Linked DNA regions of Anolis sagrei. The protein of the gene in region 1 purifies or fractionates together with the protein of each later gene. This does not show direct contact. Links are inferred from orthologs where the notes say so. Each region holds a gene or a part of one and is shown on either strand. Other genes may lie near its edges. The genes, in order: G3BP2 and CAPRIN1.

What was found.
Region 2: the proteins of G3BP2 (region 1) and CAPRIN1 purify together in Homo sapiens (affinity purification with mass spectrometry; 5 studies listed by BioGRID and IntAct, with this or other methods). This does not show direct contact. The link is inferred for Anolis sagrei from reciprocal best matches to the Homo sapiens genes G3BP2 and CAPRIN1.

The regions. Positions count from the first base shown.
Region 1 is NC_090026.1:55,182,724-55,195,924, forward strand, and holds the start of G3BP2 (ras GTPase-activating protein-binding protein 2), read right to left. Parts: upstream 5,574-13,201; 5' UTR 5,420-5,573; intron 1-5,419. Other genes in the region: USO1 (general vesicular transport factor p115), read left to right, coding at 10,956-11,021.
Region 2 is NC_090021.1:268,156,477-268,169,454, forward strand, and holds the start of CAPRIN1 (caprin-1), read left to right. Parts: upstream 1-6,976; 5' UTR 6,977-7,137; intron 7,138-7,237; exon of another isoform or gene 7,238-7,332; intron 7,333-7,471; exon of another isoform or gene 7,472-7,494; intron 7,495-7,849; 5' UTR 7,850-7,861; coding exon 7,862-8,044; intron 8,045-12,978. UniProt on the Homo sapiens protein: mRNA-binding protein that acts as a regulator of mRNAs transport, translation and/or stability, and which is involved in neurogenesis, synaptic plasticity in neurons and cell proliferation and migration in multiple cell types.

The DNA.
Region 1 (13,201 bases):
TTATAAGTGTCTTATTTAACTTACTATATAGAGTTTTATTAAGTTGTATCAAGCTTTGTTGTTTGGTTTGGTATGGTGATATGGCCTAAGGGCTAATCAATAAATTTATTTATTAGTGATTTTTCTAGATAAAATCTGTTTCTTCTGCAAAACTCCCTGGCCTTCATCAGTGAGTCTGGTACATATTGCCCCTCTGTAAAGTGTAAATATATATTAGATCCAAATCCTCCTCCAGGTCCACTTACCCTCCTCCTATGAAACTTGCCAAAGTACTAACCCTCCATTTATGTATATTTTCATCTGGTCCTTCCCAAACAGTTTTAATTGTGAGTTTTAAACACCACTGTATTCCTGGTTTTGTTTTGTGTATAGGTATGTTTTAATATGTGTATTTTACAGAGTGTTTTAATATGATTCTGTGTTTTAGTAATGCTTTAATCCGCCTCAAGCCATGAGAAGTAGCAGGCAAGAAATTTCATTTATTTATCTATATTCCGCTTTATCTCTCAAAGCAGCTCACAATTAAAAGCATTACAATACAACTTAAAATATACAAATACATGTGTTGTAATGTAATTTTTTTGTTTTTTTGTTTCTTAAGTCTCTTTCACTGTGTTTTTCAGTATTTTTATGAGTGATGGTCACTCCTTGGCCTGATAGGTGTATTGTGTCCAAATTTGGTGTCAATTCGCCCAGTGGTTTTTGAGTTATGCTCATCCCACAAACGAACATTACATTTTTATTTATATAGACTAGCTGTCCCTTGCCATGCGTTGCTGTGGCTGTCTGTGTATATGTGTTTTGTACATGTATATATGTGTATATGTGTGTGTATATATTTGTATATAAGTGTATATATGTCTGTGTATATATGTGGTTTTGCGCATGTGTTGTAATGCATTTTTTATTTTTTGGCTTTTTAAATCTCTTTTGCTGTGTTTTTCAGTGTTTTTATGACTGATGGTCACTCGTTGGCCTGATAGGTGCATTGTGTCCAAATTTGGTGTTACTTCGTCCAGTGGTTTTTGAGTTACATTATTATTATTATTGAACATTACATTTTTATTTATATCGATTATAATTACTATATTATTATATATTATTGTACTATATTATCGTACCACAACACATATAATATACCACCAGTATATTACACTATTATATATTGTATTATATCATAAGTCGAGGTATATATATAAAACTAGCTGTCCCCTGCCATGCGTTGCTGTGGCCAATAATAATAATAATAATAATAATAATAATAATAATAATAATAAACCTTTATTTGTACCCCGCTACCATCTCCCAAACAACTCGATGCGGCTTACAAGAGGCCGAGCCCAAATACAACAATAAAACAACAACAACAATAATACAGCAAAATAAATCAAAAACAAAGCAATAACATTAACAACACACAATGACGCAATTAAAAACTATGGCAGGGCCAAATGTAATAATTAAAAATTAAAATTAAAAAGTGCTGCATAACCAGGAGAAAGGGTGGGTGTTTGGAGAGGGATGGGTATGCAGATATCCTAAATCTCTGATAAAGTGTGTTGGGGACAAAATGCTTGGAGTTTCCTTATTCTGGGAAGGCACACTGGAACAACCACGTTTTCAAGCTCCTCCTAAAAATTGCCAGCGATGGGGTCTGCCTGATGTCCTTAGGGAGAGAGTTCCAGAGTCGAGGGGCCACCACCGAGAAAGCCCTATCCCTCGTCCCCACCAATTGCACTTGCGATGCAGGTGGGATCGTGAGTAGGGACTCTTCAGATGAACGAAGAGATCGTGTGGGTTCGTACACCGAGATGCGGTCACGCAGGTAGGCGGGTCCCAAACTGTGAATATGTGTTTTGTGTATGTGTGTATATATATACTAGCTGTCCCCTGCCACGTGTTGCTGTGGCTCAGTCTGTGTATATGTGTTTTGTGTGTGTATATATGGGTGTATATATTTGTGTATATGTGTGTTTTGTACATGTGTTGTAATTTATCTTTTTGTTTTTTGGCTTTTTAAGTCTCTTTGGCTGTGTTTTTCATGTTTTTATGAGTGGTCACTCATTAGCCTGATAGGTGTCTTGTGTCCAAATTTGGTGTCAATTCGTCCAGTGGTTTTTGAGTTATGTGAATCCCACAAATGAACATTACATTTTTATTTATATAGATGTGTCTGTATATATATTTGTGTATATGTGTATACATGTGTGTTTGTGCATGCGTTGTAATGTTGTTTTTTTGGCTTTTTAGAATCAAAGAGTTGGAAGAGACCTCATGGGCCATCCAGTCCAACCCCCTGCCAAGAAGCAGGAATACTGCATTCAAAGCACCCCTGACAGATGGCCACCCAGCCTCTGTTTAAAAGCTTCCAAAGAAGGAGCCTCCACCACACTCCGGGGCAGAAAGTTCCACTGCTGAACGGCTCTCACAGTCAGGAAGTTCTTCCTCATGTTCAGATGGAATCTCCTCTCTTGTAGTTTGAAGCCATTGTTCCGCGTCCTAGTCTCCAAGGAAGCAGAAAACAAGCTTGCTCCCTCCTCCCTGTGGCTTCCTCTCACATATTTACACATGACTATCCTATCTCCTCTCAGCCTTCTCTTCTTCAGGCTAAACATGCCCAGCTCCTTAAGCCGCTCCTCATAGGGCTTGTTCTCCAGACCCTTGATCATTTTAGTCTCCCTCCTCTGGACACATTCCAGCTTGTCAATATCTCTCTTGAATTGTGGTGCCCAGAATTGGACACAATATTCCAGGTGTGGTCTAAACATGCCCAGCTCCTTAAGCTGCTCCTCATAGTCTCTTCTGTGTTTTTCAGTGTTTTTATGAGTGATGGTCACTCGTTGGTCTGATTCGTGTTCAAATTTGGTGTTAATTCATCCAGTGGTTTTTGTTATGATCACCCCACAAATGAACATTACATTTTTATTTATATAGACTAGCCATCCCTTGCCACGTGTTGCTGTGGCCCAGTCTGTGTATATGTATTTTGTACGGGTATATATGTGTGTATATATTTATATATATGTGTATATATGCCTGTTTGTTTATATATGTGGTTTTGCGAATGTGTTGTAATGCATTTTAATTTTTTTTTCTTTTTAAGTCTCTTTTGCTGTGTTTTTCAGTGTTTTTATGAGTGATGGTCACTCGTTGGCCTGAGAGGTGTATTGTGTCCAAATTTGGTGTCAATTCGCCCAGCATTTTTTGAGTTATGTTAATCCCACAAATGAACATTACATTTTTATTTATATAGATTATATCTCATTATTATATAATTATATATTGTATTGTACTATATTTTCGTACCACAACACATGCGCAGTATATTATACTATTATATATTGTATTATATAATAAGTCGAGGTATATATATAAAACTAGTTGTCCCCTGCCACGCGTTGCTGTGGCTCAGTCTGTGTATATGTGTTTTGTGTGTATATATATGGGTGTATATATTTGTGTATATGTGTGTTTTGTACATGTGTTGTAATTTATCTTTTTGTGTTTTGGCTTTTTAAGTCTCTTTTGCTGTGTTTTTCCATGTTTTTATGAGTAATGGTCACTCGTTGGCCTGATAAGGTGTATTGTGTCCAAATTTGGTGTCAATTCATCCAGTGGTTTTTGAGTATGTGAATCCTATAAACAAACATTACATTTTTATTTATATAGATGTATCTGTATATATATTTGTGTGTATGTGTATACATATGTGTTTGTGCATGCATTGTAATGTTTTTGTTGGTTTTTTTTTTTTGCTTTTTAAGTCTCTTCTGTGGTTTTTCAGTGTTTTTATGAGTGATGGTCACTTGTTGGCCTGATTAGTGTTCAAATTTGGTGTTAATTTGCCCAATGGTTTTTGAGTTATGTTAATCCCACAAAGGAACATTACATTTTTATTTATATAGATGTGTCTGTATATATATTTGTGTATATGTGTATACATGTGTGTTTGTGCATGCGTTGTAATGTTGTTGTTGTTTTATTATTATTATTATTATTATTATTATTATAACTTTATTTGTACCCCGCTAGCATCTCCCGAAGGATTTGGTGCGGCTTACAACAGGCCGAAGCCCACACAATACAACAATACAATACATAGCAAATAAGACAATTAAGCAGAAAAACAAATACAATAGCAATACAGCAAGACATTATTAAAAATTGAGCCGGCCGGAATAGGGGTACAGGATTAAAAGTGCTGATGTGTCGGAGGGATATGGGATTATAATATAAATGTGGTGTGCAGTGTGCGGTGGTCTTGATTCTGACTAAAGTGCTTCTGGGATTTGGAACTGGGGTTTCTAGCCAGAGAAGGCATATAGGGTTCCTAGTCTGAGAAGGCACATTTGAACAGCCAGGTTTTCAAATTCTTTCTGAAGACTGCCAGTGTAGGGGCTTGTCTGAGGTCTTTCGGGAGGGTGTTCCAGAGGCGGGGGGCCACCACGGAGAAGGCCCTGTCCCGTGTCCCCACCAGACGCGCTTGTGACACGGGCGGGATCACGAGCAGGGCCTCTCCAGATGACCGGAGTGAGCGTGTGGGTTCGTAGACAACGATGCGGTCACGCAGGTAGGGTGGTCCCAAACTGTTCAGGGCTTTGTAGGTAAGCACCTGCACCTTAAATTGGGCTCGGAAAACAAACGGCAGCCAGTGGAGCTCCTTAAACAGGAGGGTTGACCTCTCTCTGTAATGGGCCCCAGTTAACATTCTGGCTGCTGCCCGCTGGATCAATTGGAGTTTCCGAGCCGTTTTGGCTTTTTAAGTCTCTTCTGTGTTTTTCAGTGTTTTTATGAGTGATGGTCACTCGTTGGCCTGATTAGTGTTCAAATTTGGTGTTAATTCATCCAGTGGTTTCTGAGTTCTGTTAATCCCACAAACGAAATTACATTTTTATTTATATATAGATAGATTACATTAAAACATTAATATTATATGTAATAGTATTATTATATCACAAAAAGCCTTCGACAATACATTAATATTATATGTAATAGTATTATTATATCACAATAAGAAATAAAACTATTACTAGTACTATTATTACTATTATTGGTGAAAGAATGGTGAAAAGAAATAAACCTCGGCTTTTCTGCAAACTCCTCAGTACTGACCTGCCTTACATGGTAGTTGTAAGGCGAATACACTGATTCGAGGCCAACGTTTACTGCGTATTAGGAGGCGGGGTTGAAGGGGGCCCATCTACATTGCAATACAATGCAGTTTGGAACTGCATGATATGGTCAGCGTAGACCCACATAATGCAGCTCTGTGCAATTAACTGCTGTTGACAGCAGCAGCAGCATCCCCCCTCCTCCCTCCTCCGCCACGTCCTTTCTCTGAGGGGCGAGAAAAAAGCCCCGCCAGGAGGCAAAGCGCGGGCCCAGGAGGCTCCCCATCCGCCCGTGCCCCGTTACCCACCTAGGCGCTCTCCGCGGTCTCGGGATCCGGTTCGCTCCCGGCCGAAGGCACGGGGAGGAGCGACTGGGGCTGCGCGTCCCTCCCTCCTTCCTTCCTTCCCTCAGACGGAGTCCGGGCGGAACCGGAAGTGGCTCTCTCGCTCCCCGCCGGGAGAGCGCGAGGCCGAAAGCGCGCGCGCGCCTGCGAAAAGGTCCCCAATAGCCGCCAGGAGTGGGCGGGGCTAAAGCCGCCACATCTGGTGCGCGAGGAGCACGCTTTTGAAGTGATGGGCCAAACGGAAGTCCGGCTTTGGCGTCCTTCTTTTGTTTATCCTCTCTATGCTTACGCTTCCGGGAAAGGAAAGGCCATTGTAACGTCCTCCGTTAGGGCCGCCAGGTTTTTGGGACTTCAGCTCCCACAATTCCTGCCGCCTAGACAAGCTTCTGAGGCGCTTGGGAGTTGAAGTCCGCCCAAAAAAACCTCGAAGCCGGCCATTCTCTTCTCTCAAGAGTTCATTGGAAGAGAGCTTCGTGCACGCTCCACTTCCGGTTCCCTGTAGGTTCTTTCGTAAACATTGCTAGCAAGGTATTGTCGAAGGCTTTCATGGCCGGGATCACTGGGTTGTTGTAGGTTTTTCCGGGCTATATGGCCATGTTCTGGAGGCAATTTTTCTCCTGACGTTTCGCCTGCATCTATGGCAAGCATCCTCAGAGGTAGTGAGGTCTGTTGGAAGTAGGAAAAATGGGTTTATATATCTTTGGAATGACCAGGGTAATGTTTCAGCTGATCACCTTGATTTGCATTCAATGGCCTGGAAGCGCCTGGGGGGAATCTCTTGTTGAGAGTGAATTGCTAGCAAGCCATGCTAATATTGTACATATAATAATAATAATACTATTTATATCCCGCCCTAAACATAATATAATAATTTTTATTTATTTATTTATTTACCTTACTTATATACCGCTGTTCTCAGCCCGAAGGCGACTCACAGCGGTTCACAACAAATACGAACAGCAAAAATTCAGTGCTACAGTATAAAAACAGTTAACAACCTAACACATTACATACCATTCCTTGAACGTGAAAAAGCATTTGATTAGATTCCCCATGACTTGATCTGGTGAGCACTATGGTCACATGGAATACCAGAAGACTATCTAACATGGATGAAGCTACTGGGTGCCGTGCCAATCCAGAAGTATCTCCGGAAGAGCTCATCCAGCATTTATAAACAATAAACACTGACAAAAATCACAATATGTCAACTGCAAAAGGCCACCTTGCTTGGATCCGCACGCATCATTCGAAAATACACCATACAGTCCTAGACGCTTGGGAAGTGTTCGACTTGTGATTTTGTGATACGAAATACAGCATCTATATCTCATTTGCTGTGACATACTGTGTTTTTGTGTCAGTAAAATAATAATATTTATATCCCACTTTTATCTCCCCAAAGGGGACTCAAAGCAGCTTGACATAAAATCATTGGTATCCAATTTAAAATATATAAATATACAAACATTGAAACAGAATTAAACACAGACAGTATTTTTAAGCATTCAGTTAAAATCCATAGAATCATAGAAACCTAGAGTTGAAAGAGACCTCATGGGCCATCCAGTCCAACCCCCTGCCAAGAAGCAGGAATATTGCATTCAAAGCACCCCTGACAGATGGCCATCCAGCCTCTTTTTAAAAGCTTCCAAAGAAGGAGCCTCCACCACATGCCGGGGCAGAGAGTTCCACTGCTGAACGGCTCTCACAGTCAGGAAGTTCTTCCTCATGTTCAGATGGAATCTCCTTTCTTGTAGTTTGAAGCCATTGTTCCGCGTCCTAGTTTCCAGGGAAGCAGAAAACAAGCTTGCTCCCTCCTCCCTGTGGCTTCCTCTCACATATTTCTACATGGCTATCATATCTTCTCTCAGCCTTCTCTTCTTCAGGCTAAACATGCCCAGCTCCTTCAAACATATTAAAAGTTAAGAACAAGTATGGTCTGCTGCCCTGCAGAGATTTCACCACCTTTCACTATCACTGTTGGTGTGCATCAGGGATCAGCACTCTCACCATTACTAGACATGCTCTGCATGAACACTGCTACAGCAGATTTGCAGACTATGCATCCCTGGACACTAGGTTTGGTTGATTTAAAAAATGTTCAAAACTCGTTTAGGATGTAAAGAGTGCTGGTGGTTCAATTCTAAACACATTTCTGAATTTTTCTGGGGGGAGAAGTTGGAACTTTCCGAAACTTCTGAAACTTCTGAATCGATTTGTTAATGCAGATGTGCATACACAGTAGGGAAAAATAGCACTGGTGAAACTTCGGGGGATTCTCTATTCTCCCTCATTTTTAGACCAACCCTGATGAAACTTGCGACAGCGGTAGAACACATGGACCACTGTTAGCTCACCAAATTTCATAACCTTTGACTTATCCATGGATTTTTGGTGAATTTTCAAAGTTTTTATTTAAAAAATTAATAATAAAGAAAATCTGTTCCTGGTTTGAAAGTGTTATTTCCTGTTTAATTGTGTGTTTTTTACTTTGAAAGTAGTTGTTCTACTCCAGAAACTTTGTGTGGCACAAACTGTGTTAAATTGGGGGAGAACAGAAATCATAGTACAGACCTCATCAAGGAACATCTAGACTGACCCCCTTCTTCTGGGCAGAAAGGCACCATCCTGACATCCATTTTAGGACATCCATTTGCTTCCTCTACTGAGTTGGAGAGGACACTCAAGACACATCCATCTGTTTATTTCTATTAGCTTAACTACATTACATTAATCTACACTGACCATATAATCCAGTTTCAAATTATTATATGGTAGTGTAGATGGAGCTTGGAACCTGTTTTTACAACTCCCTTGAGAGAGAGAGAGAGAGCTGCCCATAGTTTAAAGAACATTCACGATACAAAGATTAGATCGGCAACTTCCCTTCTTTCATTTAGGAAAAAGTTGAAAACCTGGATATGGGACCAGGCATTTGGACATTCTGGCAGCCAAAGAAAGACTTGATGATGAGCTAGAATTTGACGGAATGGATTTACGGAACTCCAAACGCTGAGCTCAGGATTAGTTTACTATTGTGTTATTGTATTCTATTGTATTGATGGTTTTAATTTTAATTTGTAACTGTTTAATTGCTTTTATATATGTATGTATATGTGACAAAGGCATCGAATTGTGCCTTCCTCTAAGCCGCCCAGAGTCCCCCCTTGGGGGTGAGAAGGGCGGGGTAAAAGTAACGGAAATAATAATAATAATAATAATCATCATCATCATCATCATCATGGATGGGATGCAGTAGTAGATACCTTCTTCATCCCAAATGAAAAATGCAGACTCCTTGGTTTTTAAATCAAGATGCGTATTTATTATATGAATATATATTCAGAGTTGGGCATATTGGGTATGTGTGCCAAGTTTGGTCCAGATCCATCATCGTGTAGATTCAGAGTGCTCTCAGATTGTAGGTGAACTGCAACTTCCAGAATTCAAGGTTAGCCCCCACCTTCCCCAAACCGGCTTCAGAGTGGCCTCTGGATGTTGGTAAACTATAACTCACATAATCTAGGGCCCATCCCACCAAACCCCTCCAGTATGTTCTGGTGGTTATGGGGGTGGTGGGTCTGTGTGCCAAGTTTGGTCCAGATCCATTGTTGGTGGGAGTTCCAGTGCTCTCTGAAAGTTGGGGGTTTCTTGAAAAATACAAACAAACATATAATACTATATATTGATATATAGATTACATAATATATATGGTCCTTGCTTGACCACAAAGTGAAGGCAGAACCTTATTGAAAAGACAACTTCAGTCCTCACCTACATTTTGAGATTTAGGCCTATTTATTTATTTATTTATTTATCGTGTCATCAGCAACCATACCATTGTATTACAATTCTAACAGAGCAAAGCAAACACACAGATTAAAAAGAGAAGAAAAAAAAAAAACAAAAACACAGATTTTGCAAATTTGGTAGTTGGTTAAATGTCCTTTGACCAGTATCTGGCCACTTGGAGTGCCTCTGGTGTTACCGCAAGAAGGTCCTCCATTGTGCATGTGGCAGGGCTCAGGGTGCATTGCAGCAGGTGCTCAGTGGTTTGTTCTTCTTCGCACTCGCATGCCGTTGATTCCACCCTGTAGCCCCATTTCTGAAGGTTGGCTCTGCATCTCGTGGTGCCAGAGCGCAGTCTGTTCAGCGCCTTCCAAGTCGCCCAGTCTTCTGTGTGCCCAGGGGGGAGTCTCTCATCTGGTATCACCCATGGATTGAGGTGCTGGGTTTGGGCCTGCCACTTTTGGACTCTCGCTTGCTGGGGTGTTCCAGCGAGTGTCTCTGTAGATCTAAAAAAACTATGTCTTGATTTAAGTCATTGACGTGCTGGCTGATACCCAAACAGGGGATGAGCTGGAGATGTCACTGCCTTGGTCCTTTCACTATTGGCTGCTACTTCCCGGCGGATGTCAGGTGGTGCAATACCGGCTAAGCAGTGTAATTTCTCCAGTCGTGTAGGGCGCAGGCACTCCGTTATAACGTGGCATGTCTCATTAAGAGCCACATCAACTGTTTTAGTGTGGTGAGATGTGTTCCACACTGAGCATGCATACTCAGCAGCAGAATAGCACAGTGCAAGGGCAGATGTCTTCACTGTATCTGGTTGTGATCCCCAGGTTGTGCCAGACAGCTTTCGTATGATGTTGTTTCTAGCGCCCACTTTTTGCTTGATGTTCAGGCAGTGCTTCTTGTAGGTCAGAGCACGGTCCAGAGTGACTCCCAGGTATTTGGGTGTGTTGCAATACTCCAGTGGGATTCCTTCCCAGGTAATCCTCAGAGCTTGGGATGCTTGTCTGTTCTTAAGGTGAAAGGTGCATGTCTGTGTTTTAGATGGATTAGGGATCAGTTGGTTTTCCCCGTAATAGGCAGTAAGAGCACCTAGAGCTTCGGAAAGGTTCTGTTCAACCATCTCAAAGCTCCCTGCTTGAGCGGTAATGGCACGATCATCAGCATAGATGAAACTCTCTGTCCCTTCTGGCAGTGGCTGGTCATTTGTGTAGATGTTGAACATGGATGGAGCAAGCACGCTCCCCTGAGGCAGGCCGTTCTTCTATTTCCGCCTATAATTTAGGCCTATAATGCATATATTATATCATTAACCCAATTTGACAACCCTGCAACTGCTATGCTTCAATGCTATGGAATCTTGGGACTTGTAGTTTGGTGAGGCGTCAACACTCTTCAGCAAAAAAAAAAAAGGCCTCGTAAAACTACAGTTCTGACGTTTCCATAGCACTGAACTATGGCAATGAAAGTGGTGTCAAAGTGCAGTGTAAATGCAGCCTTCGCTTCCCCTTATGGGTAGCTGTCGAAGATAGAAGAGTCTACACAGAAACCGGAAGTCGAGGGTGTTCGTGCGTCGCTTCGTGTTCTGTCTCTATGATGCCCATCTTTGTGCCACGTCTTGGCGCAGGCGCAGTAGAGCGGCGGCGGCTGGCTGAGAGACACGAAGCGGCTGCGGCCTAGCCAGAGAGCCGGGCCCGTCGGGAAGATGAATTTCTTGCGGGGCGTCATGGGCGCCCAGAGCGCTGGGCCGCAGCCTTCTGGAGCCGAGACGGTGAGTCAGGCGGCTTGGGGTTTCCTCCTTGGGAAGCACTGCATGCCATTTTGCCTCCCTTGGTTTGTTGTCACGGCCTAGTTCCCAACCTGAGGGCTGAAGTCGCCCTTTCAGTAGGTCCCTGCCTTCACAATATAGTCAGGAAAGGACTATCTCTAAAAGCAAGTATAATTTATAATGTGGGGTGCTGTGAGTTGCTGTACTGAGAAACACAAGTGTGCTCCATGATCAGGCATGGGTAAACTTCGGCCCTCCAGATGTTTTGGACTACCAGCTCCCACAATTCCTAACAGCTGGTAGGCTATTAGGAATTGTGGGAGTTGGAGCCCAAAACACCTGTAGGGCCAAAGTTTGCCCATGCCTGATCTATATCAGCCAGTATGTCAACGACTTAAATCAAGAAATAGTTTTCTAAGATCTACAGATCTCAGCAAGCGAGAGTCCAAAAGTGGCAGGCTCAAACCCAGAACCTCAACCAATGGCTGAACAAGCTGAAGATTAATCCTGACAAGACAGAGGTCCTCCTGGTCGATCATAAACCAGACCGGAGTATAGGGAGGCAACCTGTGCTGGACAGGGTTGCACTCCCCCTGAAGTCACAGGTCTGCTGTTTGGATTCTTCACTTACGTTTGAGGCTCAGGTGTCAGCGGTGGCCGGGAGGGTTTTTGCACAATTGAGACTCGTGCGCTAACTGTGACCGTACCTCGTGAAGGCGGATCTGGCCAGGGTGGTCCATGCCTTAGTCACCTCCAGATTAGACTACTGTAATGCGCTCTACGTGGGGCTGCCCTTGAAAATGGCCCGGAAATTCCAACTGGTCCAATGGGCGGCAGCCAGGTTGTTAACTGGTGCTCCTTACAGGGAGAGATCAACCCTCCTGTTTAAGGAGCTCCATTGGCTGCTGTTCATTTTCCGGTCCCAATTCAAGGTGCAAGTGCTTACCTACAAAGCCCTAAACGGTTTGGGACCCGCCTACCTGCATGACCACATCTCCGTATATGAACCCACACGATCTCTCCGATCATCTGGAGAGGCCCTGCTCACGATCCCACCTACACTGCAAGCATGATTGGTGGGGACGAGGGACAGGGCCTTCTCCGTGGTGGCGCCCGGACTCTGTCTCCCCAAGGACATCAGACAAGCCCCAACCATGGCAGTCTTTAGGAAGATCTTGAAGACGTGGTTGTTCCAGTGTGCCTTCCCAGAATAGGAAACTCCTAGCATCATGTCCCAAATGCACTTTACTAGAGATTTAAGATTGTCTGCACACCGCACCTATCTCCAAAAACCTATCCATCTCACCTGTCATGCTTACCTTTGAGGCTCAAGCGTTGGTGGTGGCCAGGAGGGCCTTTGCACAATTAAGACTCGTGCGCCAACTGCGACCGTACCTCGGGAAGGCGGATCTGGCCAAAGTGGTCCACGCCTTAGTCACCTCTAGACTGGATTACTGCAATGCACTCTACGTGGGGCTGCCTTTGAAAACGGCCCAGAAATTTCAGATGATTCAACGGACGCCAGCTAGGTTCTTAACTGGGGCTCCTTACAGGGAGCAGTCATCCCTCCTGTTCAAGGAGCTCCACTGGCTGCCATTCATCTACCGGACCCAATTCAAGGTGCAGGTTCTCACCTACAAAGCCCTGAACGGTTTGGGACCCGCCTACCTGCGTGACCGCATCTCCATATACAAACCCACACGATCACTTCGATCATCCGGAGAGGCCCTGCTCTCGATCCCACCAGCCTCGCACGCGCGATTGGTGGGGACGAGAGAGAGCGCCTTTTTGGTGGTGGCCCCTCGGCTCTAGAACTCACTCCCTAAAGACATCAGACAGGCCCCAACTCTGGCAGTCTTCAGGAGGAGCTTGAAGACGTGGCTGTTCCAGTGTGCCTTCCCGGAATAATGATCCCATAGCACTTTGTCCTCCAAAGCACTTTACATTTCTTTAGGTCTGCTCATATGCCCTTCCACAAACAGCAGTATCACCTTTCGTCCATGTCCCAGCATTATTTCCAATTTTAACTCTACATTTGGTCTTCCTACTGTTTTTTAATTATGTGTTGTCTTATTGATAATGTTGTGTATTTTATTGTCTATGATTTTTTAATTGCTTGTATTGTTGTTATTATTGCTTGTATTGTTGTATTTGGGCTCGGCCTCATGTAAGCCGCACCGAGT
Region 2 (12,978 bases), on another chromosome or scaffold:
AAAAACAGTGTCTCAACTCAACAGCTACTTGGTGTGCAAGATGGAATAGATCAGAAGTCACAAACTAGCTTTTGAATTATGACTTTTTAAGTTTCTTGCTCCATAAGATTATATGTATTGAAATACTTCATAAATAGTTAATTTCCAATCTGCTTCAAGGGAAAGTGTGGACTGTTTCTAAATTGCTTGCCTTTAGAAATTAAAAAGAACAGCTGTGTGTGCATTCCAGATGGGATCTCAGCATTCCTTATCATTGGCCATCCTGATCGGGAGAAAGTCTTCAATATCTAGAGAGGATCAAGTTGGAAAACTCTGGTCTAGGGCACTGGGAAGTTGTAAGAAATTTAGCCTATGCCTAAATACCCGAAAGGCACCAGACTCTGTGTAATCTTGGAAGGTAAGCAGGGTCAGTCCTGTTAGTACTTGGGTGGGATGCTGTCAAAGAATACTGGGGCAGGTGTGTGTGCAGCTTCACCTTTGTCACTGTTGATGTATGGCAACCCCATGGATTTCATAGGAAAGGAATATTCAGAGATTGTTCTGCCAATTCTGTCTTCTGAAGTGCAACCTAAAGCATCAAACATCTGTTAGAAGTCTCCCAACCACACATGTATCACCCTCTAACAATAGTATTGTAAATTCTGTCAATACTTTTCATACTGTGGTCAACACAAAATCAAAGGAAACATAGTAAATACACCACTGTCCCATTTTCTTGTTGAAATAAAAAATACCAAATGCAAGGCGATAGCATAAAATTTATTCAGTCATTGCTATTGGAGTGATTATACAAATTAAAGCAGTCTTCAACAACGCCAGGAGATTGTTCTTAGGCAAGGGTTTCCCACTTGTCGCATTATACAACATACAAGGAAACCTGTTCAATTTTGCACAAAGGCGAATGAAACAAGATTCTATTGTGTGATGGTTCAGAAATGTGAGCCAAAATGCCACATAGCTTTTTACACATACTGAACAGGATCATATCTGTTCCAGCAATTTCAGTAAAATGCTTACTATTTCACAATTTTCTGAAAGTACTGCTCTTTTTTGTTTCCAAAATGTTTCATCATGTGGAAGGGAAACGCAAATATGTAACCAAGCCCAAGATAAGCAAATCAGTATAAACAAACACGTAAGAGTGAGACTTTACTGTTATGCTCTCATCTGATTGCACAAGGCTTTACAGATGTCAGCAGTAATTATTTTCTTCTGCATTGGGAAAGCGGGTGGCCTTTCATGTTGATTCTGCAAGGAACGTACTGGTCAGTCCTTCCAGCTATATGTCTTTTCATTTATTATAGTTTTATCTTCACAGTGATAGCCATCAGAATAGGGTTTTTTTGTTTGCATCATTAATATGGAATTGACAAGAAATCTAAAATTTTAACACTAGAGAAGTTGATCATGACTTCATAATTCATACAACTGTAAAGGATTGACTATTGAGACCGTATATAAGAAGCCAGTTTTGATATTGTAATCCATTCGCTGGCAGCCAAACATGGCTCTCTTTACACAGGCAAAAAGAAAAAAAAACCCTGTTCACTTTGTATTGGCTCCTAACCTGACACATGCCACACTTGAAAGAGAATTTATTATTATTTATTAACCATATTTATATACCGCCTTTCTCAGCCTGAAGGCAACTCAGAGAGATTTACAAACAGCACAATTCGATGCCTACAATAACAAAGAACAATTAAAATATTTAGCATAAATAACATTTGATAAAATAAAATAAAACTAATAACAGAATTGCTTTTTACCTGCCATTCTAGTCAATGATTTTGTTTTGGTGTTTTTTGCAGGTGTAGACCGACTCCCTATCTCTATGAGTATACATAATTTCTATTAGTTACCCATTCATTTCCCAAAACAATTCAGTGTAGTATCTCCAACATACAATTAAGAAACTTTGGATACCATTGTCTCATTTTCTTTGCCTTAAGGGTCTGCTCTGTAGATTGTCATCATTAGAAATTTGGTGAAAAGAAGGGCCTGATGATGGCATAAAATTATGGAATGGGAGGATGCTTGCCATACCTCTACCTCTGAGGATGCTTGCCATAGATGCAGGCAAAATGTCAGGAGAGAATGCCTCTAGAACATGGCAATATAGACCGAAAAAACCTACAACAAACCACTGATTCCAGCCATGAAACCCTTCGACAATACATGGAATCGCTTTGCTAGGTCACTCTGTTGTGATCCTTTCTCTTCTAACATTTGATGGATGCTCCTAACTCTCAGTTTTTTATTAACCAGTAATTTTGCTACTATGTGAAATGCTAAAGTATTTAATATACTATTGCTGTAGTTTAATAAATACACATTTAGTGTACATTTTGTCTTAGATGTTGTAGTGGATCATCCTGATTTTCCCGTACTTTTTACAGATTTAAGATTGTTGGATAAAGAAATTAAAAATTAGTTAAATTAAGTGCCACTTTTCACAAACCTATAACCTTTTCTACACATTTAGCACCAAGATGGAGGAACTAGAACACATTAAAGAATACAAGAATCAGTGGCATAAAACTTCATTTACAAGAGTATATATGCATTATATCACCAAATATATGTTGCAATCATCTTGAACAGCCAACTTTTGCTCATACCTACCGCAAACTTGTGAATTAGTAAAACAGACGCAGCTCCACATCTTCTCCTTCAGCTACTTGTGTTTCTTTTCCCACCACTACTGATGCCTGCAAACTCTCTTCTCCTTCAAAGCAACAAGAGGGCTCACAATCCGCTTTCAATGTGGTTCACTTTTTTTTAACCAACAATGGGTTTTCTGGTACCATATTGTGCTCAAATTATATGTAGCACTTTTTACAACATGCCATCTATGTTGTTAGCCACCCTGAATCCCCAAGGGGAGATGGGACAGGATACAAATAAATTTGACTTGATACAGTGGTTAAATTATTTTTTTAAGTGTCAGATACGTATTTTACCAGAGTAACTTCTTTCCATCAAATGATACACAAAGGGAAAGCTCTTGTGAATATGTGTAAGAAGAAATGCAAATTAAGTATTTCTACTAAGCTATCTTGAATAAAATGGCCTTAAACACTGAACCTTTTCAAAACTGCTCCACCATGTAGAAGTGTGGTTGTCATTTGACAACCAAAGATATTTGCCCACAAAAAGCTAAATTTTGTTGTGTCCAAAATACCACAATGGCTATCCCAACTCCCAATAATAATATTCTCTAGTAAAATAAGACTCATGTTTTCAGAAAGGATTGAGTTTTGTAAATTAGATAGAATTATAATTGTTCTGATGTGAGTCTGAAAGTTAAACCTTAATGCCTCAGGGAACAAGATCAATAAAATATTCAAAAGGCTACAACTGAGAAAGATAAAGGCACACTTGGCACAGTAGTAAAGGAATCAGTTATTTGAATCTCACAGCCTAATGCAATACAAAGCCACAGTTGGTTCTGAGTTTCCAATTTCTTATTCAACTCAAAGCACCATCATCAGCCCGGGAAAGGCAATGAAACCAACACAACACAGCACATTAGAATAAGCTTTTGCTCATTCGAAACCACACATTCCTGCCTGCCTCAAGATATCCAGCATTATGTCAGGTCAAATAACTGTTTTCATACTGTGTATTTCAATATACAGTTCCTACAGGAGGAGTGGTCCTTCACAATGAAGTAACCACATTAGGACAGATCAATGTTCTATACCAGTGGTTAGAAAACTGCCTCATATGAAAGGCATTGTGGAAGTCATCTAAATAAAAACCCTCTAAATAAAATTTAAAAATAATGACATTTACCTAAATCAATAATGTTTGATAGTTTTCTTTAGTTGGTAATATATAATCTTCTTTCCCAAGATAGGGAATGTGTGGCTGTCTACATGCTGTACATGTGCAACTCTCTACATGTGCGGCTCTTTATCACCCCTAGTCAGCATAGATGTTGTCAGACTGAAGGTCAACATGGTTCCAACTCCCTATGAACCACCTAAGAGTTTAAGATCATCCAGGAAGGCCCTGCTCTCAGTCCCGCCTTCTTTGCAGGTTCGACTGGTGGGGTTGAGAGACAGGGCCTTCTCAGTGGTGGCCCTTCGGTTGTGGAATGCCCTCCCCAGGGATATTATATCAGCCCCTTCCCTGTTGACCTTCCAGGAAAAAGTGAAAGCATGGCTATTTGAACAAGCCTTCGGAATCTCATGCAACAGTCAAGCATGGTATTAGACAAAAGCGAACATTGGAACGGCTCAGACGACCATTTATGGACAATGAGACTAACAATGAAGGCATTGGTTTTATATGTTTTTAAAGGTTTTACTGAATGTATGTTTTAATTCTGTTAATTGTATACTGTTAGGCATCAAATTGCTGCATGGTTGTAAGCTGCCTTGAGTCACCTTTGGGTTCGAAAAAGGCAGGATAGAAATATTTTAAATAAATAAATAAACTCATGCAATACAGGAAAGAAAATGGAGAAGAGTCATATGCCTGCACAACTATGAGATAAGTCCACAAGAAATGTCTGTTTGATTCCATGCTAGTTTCACAAGGATGCTCTCAATGTGTTTAGCAGTCATAGTCTTTCCTTTCCAATGTGCTCCATTGTGGGAACTATATCAGTGTCCAATGATGCAAATCATGCTAGGGTTGTCTAACTTTGTACTGGAGTGGGGTTTCAGTAATGTATTAAATTGGTGTGTATTGTGCGGGATGAATTTTACAAATACTTATCTATAATGGAGTAAAGCAAAACACACAGGATAACAGGTATAAAGGGAAAGGTTAAGCCCTTCTTAAAAGCACTTTATACTGGAAATATTAAAAACTCATTAATAAATCAGTATTTCTGGGTTCTTGAGATCACATTTACACACAGAGATGTGAAAATGCTTAGAATTATGAAGACTTAAGCATTTATTCTTAGATTGAGTACAGTTTGAAATAAACAATAAAGGTATAACAACGAGATTAGCACAGCATCACTGGTGATGGTGTTCCGGGGTTGTGAATTCATTTTTTTCCCTGGCATTCAAGATATTGGCTCACTTTTACTAACCACATTTAATAATTTGGGGGTAATGACCAAAATAGCATTTTATGTGTCATGTCACTCAAAACAGAATATATGGCAACATTTTAGGAGGTATTCCCATGGTTTATTTACAACACAATCCCTGTCCTCTTGAAATTTTCTAGAACACAGGAAGTTATTATAGAATCTTGTTGGTAAATTCTTAAAATACCTCTCTAGGAAGTTCTCTAGAGGAATTCTATGGTACTTCCTGGTTGTTCATTTTAGTGAGGTTCGCTATTATCCAGTTTCCACAGTAAGTTCAGGAATGTATCCCCAGATATGGGGGTTATACTGTATTTAAAATGTTTATATATTGCCTAACTTGCCTTGCCCTTCAGAAAGTTTATAAATATAGAAACAGCGAAGTCCCCCATTGTCATCTCAACATGTGCCTTCAAACTGCTTTGCTTGTGTCTTTCAAGTTGATTGTTAATTTGTGACGACCCCATACATTTCAGAGGGTTTTTTTCTTTAAAAAGAGAAGGAATATTTAGACATGGTTTTTCTAATTCCTTTCTCTGAAATACAGTCTGCAGTGTGTGATATTCATTGCTGAGTTTCCAACCGTTAGTAACTAGGACTGACCCTCCTTAGCTTCCAATATCAGATGGCATTTGGTGATTTTATGGCATGGCAAGTAAGGGTTACAAAAATAATTTCTGCTTCTCCAAAACCTCAAACTGGGATTTTTCTGCATCATTCTAGTACAGGCCTGGGCCAACTTGGACCCTCCAGGTGTTTTGGACTTCAACTCTCACAATTCCTACTGGCTGTTAGGAATTGTCGGAGTTGAAGTCCAAAACATCTGGAGGTCCAAAGTTGGCCCAGACCTGTTATGTTGTGAATGAACTGAAATCTAAGCACCAGCTGAACACGACTGTAGTGACTATGTATTGTTGAAGGCTTTCATGGCTGGAATCACTAGGTTCTTGTGGGTTTTTTTCGGGCTATAAGGCCATGTTCTAGAGGCATTTCTCCTGAAGTTTCGCCTGCATCTATGGCAAACATCCTCAGAGGTAGCGAGTCATTAATAAATGACTCTATTATTGCATCTATGCATCTATCTAATATTGCATCTTGCATCTATGGCAAGCATCCTCAGAGGTAGCGAGTCATTAATAAATGACTCACTACCTCTGAGGATGCTTGCCATAGATGCAGGCGAAACGTCAGGAGAAATGCCTCTAGAACATGGCCCTATTGCCCGAAAAAAACCCACAAGAACCTAATGTAGTGACTATTTGTTTTGTTTCCTAACACAAATGTAACTGAACTAGATTTTAAAAACTTATTAAGTTTCTGGATTTATTACCGTTATGTCTTTGTCTCCTAATTCTTTGCCATGTGCCTGCAACACATGTTCGAATTCCCGAAGGCTGAAAACTGAAGCTGGGGCCTACGGTGTTTCTCAACCCTTGGCTGGCCAGGTGTTTTGGACTTCAACTCCCAGAATCCATTAACCATTGGCCAGGGCAGCTGAGGATTCTGGGATATGAAGTCCAGGGCACTTGGAACTCGCGGGCTTCCAAAGGCCTCTCTAACAAGTCCTGCCGAGTCCCCTGGGAGTTCTTTCCACGTACAGCGAGAGCGCAGCCGCAGTGCGTTCACAAAGCGATACAAAGGGGCTCCGAGAAAAGACGAGACAAGGAAGCGGGCAAGCCAAGGAAAAGCCATCCCTCGAAACGAGGCCCAGCCCACAGGAAGGGGTCCTTTCAGCACAGAAGCTCCTCCGCCTGACTATTGTGTCCGCGCTTAGGCGCCCGCCGCGCCTGAAGCACCTTGCCCCGCCCCGCTGTGCTTTCAGTCAGGCACTTGGCGAGGGCAGCCCCAGCGGCTGAGGACCCCTCTCGGCTCGCTCCCTGCCCCGCCCGCTTCTCGCTCTCTCTCTCTCTCTCTCTCTCTCTCGCCTCACCGTCTCTAGCAGGAGGAGCGGTGTGCAAGCGCCGGGCCGGAGTGGGCAGAGGCGGCCATTCGCCCTCCGCGACTGTGAAAGCAGCCATTCCCTTGCCTGTATCTCTCTCCCCCTCCATTCCCATTCAGTCACACAGGCGCCGGCACCTCATACGGTGAGCAGGAGGCGGGCAAAGGAGAGAGAGAGAGAGAGGAAGCGTTGGGCAGCAGCGGCGGGGGGAGTGAGGAGGAGAAGGAAGAGCCCGGCGGGGAGCCTGCCAATCACGCGGGGAGTTCCGAGCGCGAGCTAACTCTCTTCTCCCCCTCTCCCTACACCGTGCGCGCGCGCGCGCGAGATAGAAAGAGAAAGGGTTGGTTGGCGCGAGCTCACTCTCTCCTCCCCCCTCCCCTCACTGTGCGCGCGCCATAGATAGAAAGAGGGTTGGTTTGATCCTTCCTTCCTTCGCCGGCGGATCCTAACGAAGTAATTAATCCCGGGTTGCCTAAATATCGTTGGGGGCGCGCCTCGGCAGGTGCGGCCTACCTCACGCGTTCGAGGAGAAAAAGGACGGGAGGAGGGAGAATAGAAAAGGCCTGCTTAGGAGTCAATGGGCGTTCTGTCTTTTGTGTGCATGTCCCTTTAAATACCAACCAGTTGGAATAAAAAAGCAGTCTCGGGCGAGTGGGAGAGCGTTTGTCGATTCCTCCTTGCTTTGTGTCCCTTCTGGCGGCCCGTCCTTTCTGTGCCTCGCGCTCTCTCTCTCCTCTCCCCACCCCCATCCCCGCCCGCCGGCCGCGGTCCGCCATCTGCCTGCCTCCCGCCCCTTCTTCCTCCTCCTCCTCCGGCCCGTAACGCGCTCCTTCTCCTCCTCCTCCTCCTCCTCGTAGTCACAGGAAGCGATGCCCTCGGCGACCACCAGCAGCAGCGCGATGGCGAGCAAAGCGGTGAGCGACGTCGCGGCGGCGGCGGCAGCAACGGCGGCGGCGGCCACTTCGGGCGGAACGAATTCTGTGCAGACCGAGGCCATGAAGCAAATCCTGGGCGTCATCGATAAGAAGCTACGGAACCTGGAGAAGAAGAAGGTGAGGGCCTGGGCGGGGAGCGGGTCCCTCGGCGCGCCTTTTGTTTCCCAGACCAGGAGGGAGGGGGGAAGGGGAGGCCTCCTTTGTTCTCGGGGCTCCCTCGGCCCGGAGCCTCCCCCGCTCCCCTCCCGCCCCATTCCCCGCTCCCCCTCCCTTCCCACAGAGGCCTCGGCTTCAGCCGCCCCGGCCATTCTCCTTGCCTCCCTCCCTCGGCAGCCCCGCTCCTTCCGCACATGGACCCGGCCGGGACTCAACATGGCGGCGGCGGCGGTGAGAGGCAGCGAGGCTTCCCAGGGAGGGAGTCGAGCCTCTCATTGTGTGAGAGCGGCTGCTGGTTCCTTCCGCACAAAGGCCCTGCAGCCTGCCTTTTTCTCCTCTCTTTCTCTCCCTTTTCCGCCCCTTGACTTCACTCTTGCCACAGTTCCGGAGGAGCAGGCAAAAGACGGAACGAGCGTGACCTTGGAGGCCCCTGTTTAATATCAAAATAGCAACATATTACCCAGTCCCTTCGTGCGCAAGTGAAAGGCCTCCCCAGTTTTTATTGCAGCTCCAGGTTGGGAGCTCAGGTTTCTGCGGTGAGTGGCCAAAGGAAGTGTCCACATCACAAATAAGATTTCTGAAGGGAGATTCTTACAAGTACAAGTCCTTACCTGCATGAAGATGAACAAAATCTGGCAACCAGTATTTTAAAAACTCTAAAATCAGGACTGTAAATAAAGAGCAACACTCAAAAACCAGAGGAATTCCAGACAAGAATCAGTCAGGGCCAGCTAGCACCTCCCAACAAAGGATTCCTCCAGGCAGCAACCAGCCAGGCTTTGAAGCTGCAAGGGCATTCAATGCTAATAAGGGTGGCCATTTGCAGCATTCACACTTGCCCCAAACAGACAAGAGTTCTCTCTCCCACCCTGGACACTCCACTGATATATCAATCCCACTTGAATAGTTTCCAACAGACCTCACAACCTCTGAGGATGCCTGCCATAGATGTAGGCGAAATGTCAGGAAAGAATAATAATAATAATAAACTTCATACCCGCCACCATCTCCCCAAAGGGGACTTGGATGAGGCCAAGCCCAGTGATACATTACAGCAGCATAAAATATAAAAAAAAAATAACATCACAATAAAATAAATAAACCAAGTAAAATAAACAGTACAAAATAACATGGAAAATCTAACAGTGGGTGGGCCAAATGCACAACATAAAATGATAAAACTCTAGATGAGAAAGCAATGAAGAAGGTACATTTGTGGGAGTTTGTAGGGGACTGAACAGTGGAATTAGACTTTCAATAAGATGGGAAAAAGTGCAATATGAGGAAAACAGTGTAGAGAATGCTTCTGGAACATGGCCACACAGCTCAGAAAACTCACAACAACACAAGTCACCATGTTTGATTATACAGGCAGTCCCCGAGTTAGAAATATCCAACTTATACTGTATACAACTCACAGTTAGGGCCAAGACAACAGGGAAATTCAGAAGGGAAATTCACTCCTGGAAGCGTTATCATGGGGAAAAGGTGTCTCCATTGAAGCTTTATCACCTATCCTTGTTTCCACAACAAGCCACATTTTTCAAAACCCAATTATCACAGGGACAGGAAGTGAGGTGAAATCTTCAGAACAGGGGCATAGACAGCAAAGCAAACTCCACATGGGTGTTAACCCTTTGCTATGCCATCAAAAGCTAAAAAATACATTTGGCTGGAAGTAAACATAAAAATCGTGATTGTTTTGACTTACACACAAATTAAACTTAGGAACAATCCTACAGAATAGATCATGTTTGTAACTTGGGGAGGGCCTGTATATGTTTTGCAGTAGTATTTCAGTTATTTAAAATCTTAAGTGTTTAGAATCATAGGCCAAAGGCACTTTCTAGACACACAATAGCAAGAATAGTGAGTTCTGTTCAAATATTGAAAAAGAAAAAGGGCAGCAATCCTGTCAGCAATTAGAAGATCATACACTAAACTTACAATCTGCTGAGAATTCATGTTTATGATAATATACATTTGAACATTGTCCCCAAATCCACCTTAGGTTACTTTCTCCAGCAGCTTGTTTTTAATGCTCTTGTGACCAGGAGAGCATTGCAGTTGTCATTTCATAGAACCATAGAGTTAGAAGAGACCATGAGGCCATCCAGTCCAACCCTCTTCCATGCACAGTGAAAATCTCCCCAATAGATGGCCATCCAGTCTCTGCTTAGCCTCCCCCCCCCCCAAAGAAAGTTGCTGTTAAGTATTGTGTTGACTTTTGTTCCCATTACTAGAATTCTAGCCTTAAGGTTCTATAGATATATCTGGAAACCTCTGACACTTGCATTCTAGTTGGCATCTATAGGATCAAATTTCACGATTAAAGCAGTTTGAGTTTTCATTATAGTTTTGGCTATTATAGCTATCAAAGTAAGCTTTCGTTGCTTGAAAGCCCTGCACTTGTTCTCTTGTCGCAAGCCTAGTATAAGAGGTATATGATTGGAAGAAAAATGAATTGGATGTAAAATTCCTTACTTTTACTTTTAGGACAGTTCTGATTCAGCAAAAGAATCCCAGTAGTGGAATGAGAAACAGCTCAACATTAAAAGAAGAAGCCTACCCTCTGTCCATGCTCCCACATGTGTTCTTCACAGCTCTGAGGCTTTTAGAAGCTTTTGTTTCATTGTTTGATAAACCATATTTTGCTGGGTTTGAACCCAGACTAATTTTGGTAAATTGGTTGTAATTCTGCCACTGGAAACAAGTGAATTTGAAACCATATTTTACAAAGTGATTAGTTTTAATTTCTTTAGTGCTGAATCAGTAAGAATGTGAACTCAAAGAAGACCATGCTGTTTGAAATCATGGCTTAATTGTGTTGGAACAAAATGCTAATGTGGTTGGAAACTGGGATATGAGATAGGAAATTTCTTAAATGTTGCACTTATCAAATAACAGATTGTTTGGGTATGCCGTCAAGTTTTATTTTGCCCTGGTCCCTTCTTCTCTCCCTTGCCCAAAATTATTCTTGAAAAAGGCTCTAGAAGTTTCCATTTGCAATGTTTGTAATGTTGACCCCCTGACCCAGGGGCCCTCAAGCTTTTTAAACAGAGGGCCATGTCACAGTCCCTCAAACTGTCAAAAGTAAATCTCAGAGGGCCAGATTATAATTTGGGAAAAATACATGAATGAATCACACACTGCACATATCTTATTTGTAGTGCAAAAAAAATGTAAAAACAATATAATAATGAAAATGAAGAACAATTTTAACAAATATAAACTTATTAGTGTTTTAATGGGAAGTGTGGGCCAGCTTTTGGCTGATGAGATAGGATTGTTGTTGTTGTGTGCTTTCAAGTAATTTCAGACTTAGTTGACCCTGAGCGAGGGCCAGGTAAATGACCTAGGAGGGCTGCATCAGGCCCTTGGGTCTTAGTTTGAGAACCCCTGCCCTGACCTAATCTACACCATGATTGTTTTGAAACAGGAAGTGTGTCTACTATGATTTCTTGAACTCAAAATAAGCCCTAAGGCAATGGTTCTCAACCTGTGGGTCCCCAGATGCTTTGGCTTTCAACTCCCAGAAATCTTAACAGCTAGTAAACTGGCTGGGATTTCTGGGAGTTGTGGGCCAAAACACCTGGGGACTCACAGGTTGAGAACCACTACCCTAAGGGAAGTTGAAATTACATTTAAATAACAAATGGCATGCTCCAGAAGCTTCAAGCATGGGCTGGTGGTGGCTAAGTGGGACCATGTCCCTCTCCTACATTTCTTTTCTAGACTGCCTGTCCCTATTTAATGCAGTGAAGTAGAGGTAGAGGTTCATTTAAATGGCTTAGAATACAAATTATTTTAAATGGAAAGGTAGCATAGATGTCAGCTTCAAATCATAGTAACTGTATAAATAAGAGACCTCTAAGAATGGCTTTCTTGATTGAATCTATTTGCAATGTGGTCTCCCTCTCTTTGTACTGTTGTCTTTCTTTCCAAGCATTATCTTTTCTACTGAATCATAGCTGTCCAAAATATGACAGTCTCAGTTTAGGCTTTTCGGCTTCTAGAATAGTTCAAGCTTGATTTACTCTGGCCCATTTATTGGTCTTTTTTAAGCAGTCCATGGTATCTGAAGAAATGCAACACCATTGCATGAGTTGATTTTCTGTCAGCTTTCTTTTCTATCTGGCTGTCAAAATCGTACATAGAAAATGGAAATACAATTGCAGAAGCAATCCTAACCTTAGTACTCAGCTATACTATCTTTACACTTCAGGATCTTATCTACTTCCTTCAGAATTTCCCTTTCAAGTTCTAGTCGTCTGATTTCTTGACTGCTGTCTCTATTCTAATTAATGGCTGAAACAATGTACTGGCAGTCCCCAAGTTACAAACATTCAACTTACAAATGACTCATAGTTAAGAGCGGGGTGAGACAGCAGGAAGTGAGAGAAATCTACCCCTTGGAAGGAAAATTACCTCTTGAAAAAGTTATCATGGGAAAAAGGTGTCTCAAATGAAGCTTTCTCACCAATTCTTGTTTCTACAACAAGCCACATTTTCCCAAATCCAATTATCACAAGGACAGAAAGTGAGGTGAAATCTTCTGAACAGTGGTACAACAGCAAAACAAACACCACATGAGTGTTTGCCCTTCGCTAGGGTATCCAAAACTTTTTAAAAAAGGCTGGAGTTACACTTTAAAATGTACCTGTTCTGACTTACAAACAAAATTCAGCTTACGAACAAACCTACAGAACTTATCTTGTTCGTAACTGGGGGTTGTCTGTATGGAGATCCTTTAAGTAATTTGATGTCTTCATTGTCTGTTTTAAAGTTATGCAAGTCTTCTGTGGTCAATATTTTTGTTTTCTTAATGTTCAATGTTGAACTGAAACCTGTCTTTGCACATTCTTCCTTGACTTTTGTTTCAAGTCTATTTTTTG